3 linked regions of the Saccharomyces cerevisiae S288C genome follow. The gene in region 1 interacts genetically with each later gene. Each region holds a gene or a part of one and is shown in the gene's direction. Other genes may lie near its edges.

Evidence for each region.
Region 2: of POF1 (region 1) and PHM8, changing one suppresses a phenotype caused by changing the other (phenotypic suppression), as found in Saccharomyces cerevisiae (one study listed by BioGRID).
Region 3: of POF1 (region 1) and FPY1, changing one suppresses a phenotype caused by changing the other (phenotypic suppression), as found in Saccharomyces cerevisiae (one study listed by BioGRID).

Annotation. Positions count from the first base shown.
Region 1 is NC_001135.5:42,994-46,067, reverse strand, and holds POF1 (nicotinamide-nucleotide adenylyltransferase), read left to right. Parts: upstream 1-1,630; coding exon 1,631-2,407; downstream 2,408-3,074. Other genes in the region: EMC1 (Emc1p), read left to right, coding at 1-1,445; SPS22 (Sps22p), read right to left, coding at 2,512-3,074.
Region 2 is NC_001137.3:224,024-227,354, forward strand, and holds PHM8 (bifunctional nucleotidase/lysophosphatidic acid phosphatase), read left to right. Parts: upstream 1-1,865; coding exon 1,866-2,831; downstream 2,832-3,331. Other genes in the region: ATP-binding cassette family ATPase ARB1, read right to left, coding at 1-1,176; Smc5-Smc6 complex subunit KRE29, read right to left, coding at 2,835-3,331. UniProt on the Saccharomyces cerevisiae protein: May be involved in phosphate metabolism.
Region 3 is NC_001145.3:616,753-619,887, forward strand, and holds FPY1 (flavin adenine dinucleotide pyrophosphatase), read left to right. Parts: upstream 1-1,726; coding exon 1,727-2,551; downstream 2,552-3,135. Other genes in the region: MMT1 (Mmt1p), read left to right, coding at 1-1,346; SPT21 (Spt21p), read left to right, coding at 3,106-3,135.

The DNA of each region.
Region 1 (3,074 bases):
AACTCCTAGCTCTAGACGCTAAGGATACCACGGTATCAGATTTGAAGTTCGGATTCGCCAAAATCTTAATTGTTTTGACGCATGATGGCTTTATCGGCGGCCTTGATATGGTCAATAAGGGCCAACTTATCTGGAAACTCGATTTAGAAATTGATCAGGGCGTCAAAATGTTCTGGACGGATAAAAACCATGACGAACTTGTTGTTTTTTCGCATGATGGGCATTATTTGACAATTGAAGTTACTAAAGATCAACCGATTATCAAATCAAGATCCCCCCTATCTGAAAGGAAAACTGTTGATTCCGTTATTAGGCTGAATGAACATGATCACCAGTATCTGATTAAGTTTGAGGATAAGGATCATTTACTGTTCAAATTGAATCCCGGCAAGAATACGGATGTACCAATAGTTGCCAACAACCATTCTAGTTCCCACATATTCGTCACAGAGCATGACACGAATGGCATTTATGGCTACATAATCGAAAACGATACGGTAAAACAAACTTGGAAAAAAGCCGTAAATTCGAAAGAGAAAATGGTGGCATATAGCAAGAGGGAAACAACAAACCTAAACACTCTTGGTATTACACTAGGTGACAAATCGGTTCTTTATAAATATTTGTACCCCAACCTAGCGGCTTATCTGATCGCTAATGAAGAACATCATACAATCACTTTTAACTTAATTGATACCATTACAGGAGAAATCCTCATTACCCAAGAGCACAAGGATTCTCCGGATTTTAGGTTTCCAATGGATATTGTTTTCGGTGAATATTGGGTCGTTTATTCCTATTTCAGTTCTGAACCTGTTCCAGAACAAAAGTTAGTAGTGGTGGAATTATATGAGTCACTAACCCCAGATGAGCGTTTGTCTAACTCAAGCGACAATTTTTCTTATGATCCATTGACTGGACACATTAACAAACCTCAATTTCAAACTAAACAATTCATTTTTCCCGAGATTATCAAAACAATGTCCATTTCCAAGACAACGGATGATATTACCACAAAGGCAATCGTTATGGAATTAGAAAATGGACAAATCACCTACATACCAAAGCTTTTATTGAATGCAAGAGGTAAACCAGCAGAAGAAATGGCCAAGGATAAGAAAAAAGAGTTTATGGCTACCCCATACACGCCAGTTATCCCAATTAATGATAATTTCATTATCACTCATTTCAGAAATCTATTGCCAGGATCCGATTCGCAGTTGATCTCCATCCCAACCAATCTGGAATCCACAAGCATTATATGTGATCTAGGCCTTGATGTATTTTGTACAAGGATCACACCTTCGGGCCAATTTGATTTAATGAGTCCTACTTTCGAAAAGGGTAAATTGCTTATTACTATATTCGTCTTGTTGGTGATCACGTATTTTATCCGTCCTTCTGTTTCAAACAAGAAGTTGAAATCCCAATGGCTAATTAAATAGATATTTACATACACATTATATATATCAGATACACATTTCAAGGCTCCTTATTTTGGCTTTCTTTTTTTTTTTTTTTTTTTTCCCTGGAAGACGTCATACTCGTGGTTATATAATCTCCTACTTCTTTGGAAAATGGACACTTAATCAATGACGGTTGATAGCAGTACGTGCACTAGCAGACTAATATGAAGAAGACGTTCGAGCAGTTTCGAAAAAGCAATTTACTATTTCAGGTTCTCAAAGGACCCCAGCATCTAGAATGTCAGAAGTTATTTGTCCTTGATTCTTCATTCAATCCACCACATCTGGCCCATTTTCAACTACTATCGCAGACTATTAAAAACTTCAAATTGAAGGACACCCGTTCGCATGTTTTATTACTGTTAGCGGTGAATAATGCAGATAAGTTGCCTAAGCCGGCATCTTTTCCAACTCGTCTGGAAATGATGTGCTTATTCGCTGACTACCTTCAGGAGAAGCTCCCCCAATCTGTAGTATCTGTCGGGTTGACTGTTTTCTCGAAATTCATCGACAAGGACAAAATATTACATGAGCAATTTGTTAAAGGATGCAGTGCAGATATAGGCTACTTAGTTGGTTTTGATACAATTGCTAGGATCTTTGATGAAAAATATTATCATCCTTTAAAAATCAGTGATGTAATGGAGAGCTTCATGTCGGGATCTCAATTATATTGCTTGGCGAGAGGCGATTGCCATCTCAGTGCTGAATCGCAACTAAGATACGCCAGTGACATCCTTGAGGGAAAATTCGAACCGGTAATACCAAGAGAATGGGGCGCTAGGATTCATGTTATGCAAAATGATTATCCAGCATTAAGAAATGTTTCATCATCCGAGATTAGGAACAAACTGAAGAATGGGCAAGTGGAGAGTTTGAAAGACGAGTTGCCATTGTGCATATACGATTATTTGATCAATAATAAGACAATATTTGATTGAAAGAGAAAGATAGAAATTCAAATGCCTTTCATGGAGATATATGTATATAGATAAAGATAATATTAGGAACAAAAAAAACTTTCTGTTATACTAGACTAGTAATCTTAAAACAATAACATAGCAACAAGGCATGTACCAAAAAGAAGGGGGTCCAATTGCATGCTTGGATTTGCTGAGTTCGCGTATTTTGAAATCACTCTTTTCTTGGAGTCTTCACCTTCTTGCGTTAAATCTTTGTACCCTTTTTCTATGATTGTACCATCCTGTTTAACATTCAGCGTATTTTCCTTCTTACCAGAAATACAAGTGAATTTCCCACCCCTGATGATTGATCTTCCATTTGATGGGTTTGTCCATTTATTGCAATCCAACACGTTTGATGAACTCTTAATAAAAGCGCTACCTTTCACCAGTTTCAAGCTATCGAACATGATATCTTTGAACGAACCTTCAAAGAAAATAGCACCTCCAATCTGCTTCAAGTTTGGCAGGAAAGTAATATCCTCGAGGGATTCGTTATCGGCGATCATCAAGCCACCTTGAATGTCTGTTAAGTTCTCCAAATTAACTTTTATTAAATTTACATTGTTGATAATTCCTAATGTTCCACCAATCTTCTGCAAATTGTTCAGGTTCAATTCGTAAAAGTAATTTTCGATGAACTCTA
Region 2 (3,331 bases), on another chromosome or scaffold:
AACTGGTGGTGGCAATCTTTCCACTTGTGGGAATCTAAATGAGAAAACTTTGTCAGGGACGACAGGTTGGACTAAACCATCTGCTTCCATCTTGTCCAAAATTTTTTGTCTAGATTTAGCTTGTTTCACCAAGTTAGCATAAGTACCAGCAGATGCAATGAATTTTTTAATATGTTGGATTTCCTCTTGTTGTTTATTGTATTGTTTCATTTGATTGGTTTCCAATTCGGATCTTGTCTTGTGATAAGAATCATAGTTACCACCGTAAGCAGTTAGTTTTTGAGCTCTCATGTCAATCATATTGGTACAAACACCGTTCAAGAAATCTTGAGAGTGGGACACCAAAACTAAAGTTCTGTCAAATCTCTTCAAATATTCTTCTAACCAAACACAAGCTTCCAAATCCAGATGCGCAGTAGGATCATCCAACAATAATAGAGTTGGCTTAACGAAAAGAGCTTTTGCCAACGCAACACGCATTTTCCATCCACCAGACATATCTTTGGTTTTCTTCAAAATGGTCTTCTTGTTGAAACCTAGACCGATCAAAATGATAGCAGCTCTAGATTCAAAGGTGTCTGGATCCAAAGAGTCCATTCTTTCATATAGAGGCTCTAATAACTCGGACTCAGGACCATCTTCCAAGATAGTCTTTTCGACTAAGTCTTCTATTCTTTTCAATTCGTGTTGAGCTTCAGTGACAACGTAGTCCAAGGCCGACAATTCACTTGGTTCCGCAGGTTCGTCCAATAAATAAATATCAATATGCTCAGGAATAGGATATTCTCTAGTAGCAAGAGCCTTTAAGAATGTTGACTTACCACAACCATTTTCTCCCAGAAGACCATATCTACGGCCGTAGTTTAATTCTAAACCAGAATCTTGGATCAAAACTTTACCGTGGAACAGTAAAGAAACAGAAGATAGCTTGATATCACGGGAAGTCTCCAATGAACTCAAAACACCAGTGACAACACGATCTGAAAGACCATCCTTATCTTGTTGCAACTTCATCATCTTGATTTCTCTAGCGGCTGCATCTACCTCCGATTCTTCAGCAGCAGCCTCCTTTTTTCTACCTAGCTTTCTGATGGTTTTACCGGCAGCGGCTTTCTTAGCCTCTCTTTCAGCTTTCTTAGCATCTCTCTTGGCCTTTGACGCAGATACTGGTGGCATATTTGGTTCTGTCAAGTTACTGTTTGTAGCACTGAGGGGAAGAAAACAATTTTTGCAAGAAAAAAGTTAAGAAAGAAGAAGAAAAACTACACGGGCACTAACATGTTAAATATGATAATATTTTTTTTTATAAGAGAATCACTACCAAGTTACCTGAACTACGTCAAGGAAAAGCCATTAATTGAGATGAGGTGAACGAAGAAAAAAAAAAAGAAAAAAATTTTTATTTTTTTTTCCATCGGTCTCCCCCCTCACCTTTCTTTTTTCATTCGTTTAAAGTGAGATTAGGGTAATGCATTTCGTATTTAGTGAGTAAACGTCAAAGGTGATATAGGGGGTTTTTCTTTTTCCAGAAAAAGAAAGAAAAAAGCCGGCGGTCGCCGCCGGAGATGGTTGAGAAAAAAAGGGGGCAGCAACGTGCTTCACATACAAACCAAGTTCTTGGATCTGTACGATCGTTTCTGCGGGTTTTTCCGTATTTGCCGCAATACTGAAATGGCTCATTATTAGGAGATGTGCATATAATGTATATACATACATTTAGCATATGTAATACATTCGTACATGTATAGAAATATATGTTTATATATATATATATATATATATGTATATACGAACTCGGTTTAACGCATAGTTGGTAAAAGATTTAATGTAGATAAAAAACACATAAGTTTTATACGCACGTAATCATGACTATCGCTAAAGATTACAGAACAATTTATAGAAACCAAATCAAAAAGCAGATACGACTAAATCAGGAGCATTTGCAAAGCTTGACACATCTAGGCTCACAAATCAATTTCGAGGTGGATCCTCCCAAATTACCGGATCCGGATCCTGCTCGAAAAGTATTTTTCTTTGATATCGATAACACTTTGTACAGAAAATCTACGAAGGTACAATTGCTCATGCAACAATCATTATCAAATTTCTTTAAATACGAATTGGGGTTTGACGACGATGAGGCAGAACGCCTAATCGAATCGTATTATCAAGAATATGGATTATCCGTGAAAGGTTTAATAAAGAATAAACAAATTGATGACGTCCTACAATATAATACATTCATCGATGATTCCTTACCTTTGCAAGACTATTTAAAGCCTGATTGGAAGTTAAGGGAGCTGCTGATCAATTTAAAGAAAAAGAAGCTCGGCAAATTTGACAAACTATGGCTGTTTACAAACTCGTACAAAAATCATGCCATCAGATGTGTTAAAATATTAGGTATTGCTGATCTATTTGACGGCATAACCTATTGCCACTACGACAGACCCATCGAGGAAGAATTCATTTGCAAGCCAGATCCAAAATTCTTCGAAACAGCTAAATTGCAAAGTGGGTTGTCGAGCTTTGCAAATGCCTGGTTTATTGATGACAACGAAAGCAATGTGCGGAGCGCGTTGAGCATGGGGATGGGCCATGTTATCCATTTGATAGAGGATTACCAATATGAGTCAGAAAATATTGTTACTAAGGACCACAAAAATAAGCAACAATTTTCCATATTGAAAGATATCCTTGAGATTCCATTGATAATGGACGTTGAAGTTTACCGTCCATCCTCTATTGCCATAAAGGAAATGGAAGAGTTGGAAGAGGAAGGGGAAGCAGTCAACTGGTCAAATCAACAGATCAATGTTCAGTCATCATGACTGTTACCTGATTTTAGAAAACAAATTTAATATTCCCTTCAGGATAGAAATTTCAACATCATTTGTCGTTTCATTAGAAATATCCAAAATACAATCTTTGAAATATTCTGTTACTTGACATTTGGGACCAAAAGGAATAAATTTCGAGCCATACATCGTTAAAATAAAATATAGTAGATTTTTATAGTTTTTACAATCAAAAAATTCGTTAAACTCTTTGATTATATTTTGCTGTATAGTTTCAGTCCGACCTTGCTTTTCACTAAAGCGTCTCCTGAGCAAGGCGCTTTGTAAATGAGGGAAGATTTGTAGTAGCCTATAATGTAAAAAAAAGTCGTTCTTGTCCACAATTTCGAAATATGAATTTATGAAATGTGCCTCATTAAATAATTCCAGGACCTTAAAACACAGTCTATGGTCCGATTCCATAGCGTTAAAAACCTTTCTATCCAAGATTAAACATATGAAGGCTTTCAGAAAGAATTCTCTAACATCATCAT
Region 3 (3,135 bases), on another chromosome or scaffold:
AAATTGAAAAGGCTGCAATAAAGGAATTGGAGAAAAATCCTCAATACCAAAAATTAGCTGAAGCATTCAACAGTCATGATCATGTTCATTTACGTGAATCAGAGACCGAGCAAAACGACATAATTTCATTGGGCACGATACGAGACTACAAAAGCAGTAAATGTGAGCAAGCTGATAAGCCTTCGTCGTTGAATCTGCATTCGCATACACATTCTCATGGACATACGCATTCTCATGCTGCTCACAATCCATTATTAGTACTTAGTACTGAGCAAATTAGGAAAAATGCAGGCGTAAGAATCACATGGGTCGGCTTAGGTGTAAACGTTGGTATTGCTATAGGTAAATTTTTTGGAGGTATCGTATTTCATTCACAAGCGTTGTTTGCGGATGCTATCCACGCAATAAGTGACATGGTTTCTGACTTGTTGACTTTGCTTTCGGTAGGGCTAGCAGCCAACAAGCCAACCGCTGATTATCCATATGGGTATGGCAAAATTGAAACTGTTGGTTCCTTGGCAGTTTCAACAATATTAGCCATGGCTGGTATATCAATAGGTTGGAGTTCCCTTTGTGCACTCGTAGGGCCTGTTATCCCACATACAATCATTGACACCATAGGAAACTTAGGTCATGCTCATACTTATTCTGAAGACATTATTGAAGACGTTACTGATATCAACGCAGCCTGGATTGCCGCCGCTTCCATTGCAGCTAAAGAATGGATATTTAGAGCCACAAGAAAGATTGCTATCAACACTAATTCAAATGTACTAATGGCAAATGCTTGGCATCACCGTGTTGATTCATTAACTTCTCTTGTTGCTCTGGTTGCAATCAGTACTGGTTATTTGGTTAATATACAATCATTAGACACGATTGGTGGTTTAATTGTTTCTGGTTTAATTATCAAGGCTGGTGGCGAGGGTATGTGCATCGCAATAAAGGAGTTAATCGATCAGTCAGTTTCTCGTGATGATCCACGCTACCTAGAGATAGAAACTTTGGTTAAAGATACGTTGAACAAACTGATCTCTAATAATAATTCTCAGAAACCCTATGGATTGAAAGAACTGACGTTACTGTCCTCAGGACCGAATTTACGCGGACATTTAACCTTGGAAGTTCCTTTACAAAAATGGGGCAATATTTTAGGTGTTAACGAGTTTGAAATTGTGACACATCATTTACGTAATGTGTTAACCAATGAAGTATCGAATTTGAGAAGACTGGATATTGAATACGTGGAAGAAAAAAATGGTGAGGAAAATGAGCATATCAAGGGACAACAAAACTACAAAGAAGATGTTCTTATTAAGCACGACCATACGAATACTCATATTTGAGCTTCCCACAGTAATAATAACAAGTGAAGAAGAGAGGGAAATGTCGAAAATACCCGAAACGCATTTCACAATTACAAAAAGGCCAAAAAAAAAAAGGAAAGACAATACGCTTATATTTGTCACGTATACCTACTATTTGATTTATGTACGTTTTATATACAAATTGCATTTACTATTTATAAAATAAATCATTAACTATAATACTCTAACTGAATGTTTTAGGATCTTCTCTATTAAAAATATACGTGGAAAACGACTATGGCTGCCCGAGAGACTAAAAAGGAAAGAGCGAGGGATATAACAATAGCAGTCATTACTGGTGATAATAATGACATAAAAGAATTACTGAAGGAGGCAAAGTATATACTGTCAAGGGTATAATGGTGAAAGTAACTGCAGCTTGTATCATAATTGGTGATGAAGTGCTGAATGGAAAAGTAGTTGATACAAATTCCACTTTTTTTGCGAAGTATTGCTTTGATCATGGAATTCAATTAAAAGAAATTGCAACTATAGGGGATGATGAAACCCAGATCGTAGATACTGTGAGAAGATTAGTCAAAAATTATGATTTTATCATCAGTACAGGTGGAATCGGCCCCACTCATGACGACATCACTTACGAATGTATGGCGAAAAGCTTTAATTTGCCTTGTGAACTAGATGAAGAATGCAAAGAACGAATGAGGCATAAATCTGACCCTGAAGCAAGGCTTGATGCAGATGCTCTAAAGGCGCATTACCAAATGGCAACCATGCCAAAAGGCACAAACGTCAAAAATTATTATGTGTGTGATGACTTGTGGGTACCTATTTGTTCTATATCTCACAAAATGTATATACTACCCGGTATCCCTCAACTATTTGCAAGGATGCTGAAAGCGTTCACTCCCACGTTGAAAAAAATATATAATTTGGACAAGGATCCACGTGAGTATGTTCGTTATTTTGTCAGAACACACCTAACTGAGTCTCAAATTTCTAAAGAGCTAAAGTTGATTCAGGATGAATCAACAAAAGTTTCAGAAGCCATTAAAATAGGCTCATACCCACATTTTGGTATGGGATTCAATACAGTTAGTATTTTGGGTGAAAAGAAAGACGATTCATATCTGAAGAGTATTGTCAATAGAGTTGTTAATAACCTCGAGGGAGAAGTAATTTCTTCTGAACTTGAAAACAAGTTCTCGAACCAGGAGAGCTGAATACCCGAGTATTTAGAACTATGTATAGATATAGATTTTTTTTTTGGGAGCAAAGTCATCTCAGTCATCGCCGGTAGTTGCGCTTTCTTCTCAACAAAAAAGTACACTGCTCGTGGTAGAAAGGTACCTTGAAAAATTAAAGATCACATTGCTACTGTTAGAGCTTCAATCGCTAAAGTAAACATTTGAAAAATGCATATCCGAAAGGACCAAACCAGCAAAAGGTATATAATTCATTCAATAGATACAACTGCTCCATGAAAGGAAAAACCTTCATTTACGGTCGCGTTTTTTTTCGTGATATAAAAAAGGTAAAAAAAACGCGTCGCGTTAGAAAAAAGGTGTGTGTGAAGAGAAAGACCCATTGAATGGAGAGTTCGGTTCTTGGGAATTGCACTGAGCCGTGGTGAGTTTGTTGCTTTACTACATCTCTTCTTTTATAAGCAACGCTTAAGCTGAACCTAGTCAACACACATAACTGAAGTCAATTTGACCAGGTGCAACTGAAACCTGGATTGGAATTGGTATTCACTTGAACAAAAGACTCTGGTAAAATGTCTGAACTCTCTCAAATGACATTGAAG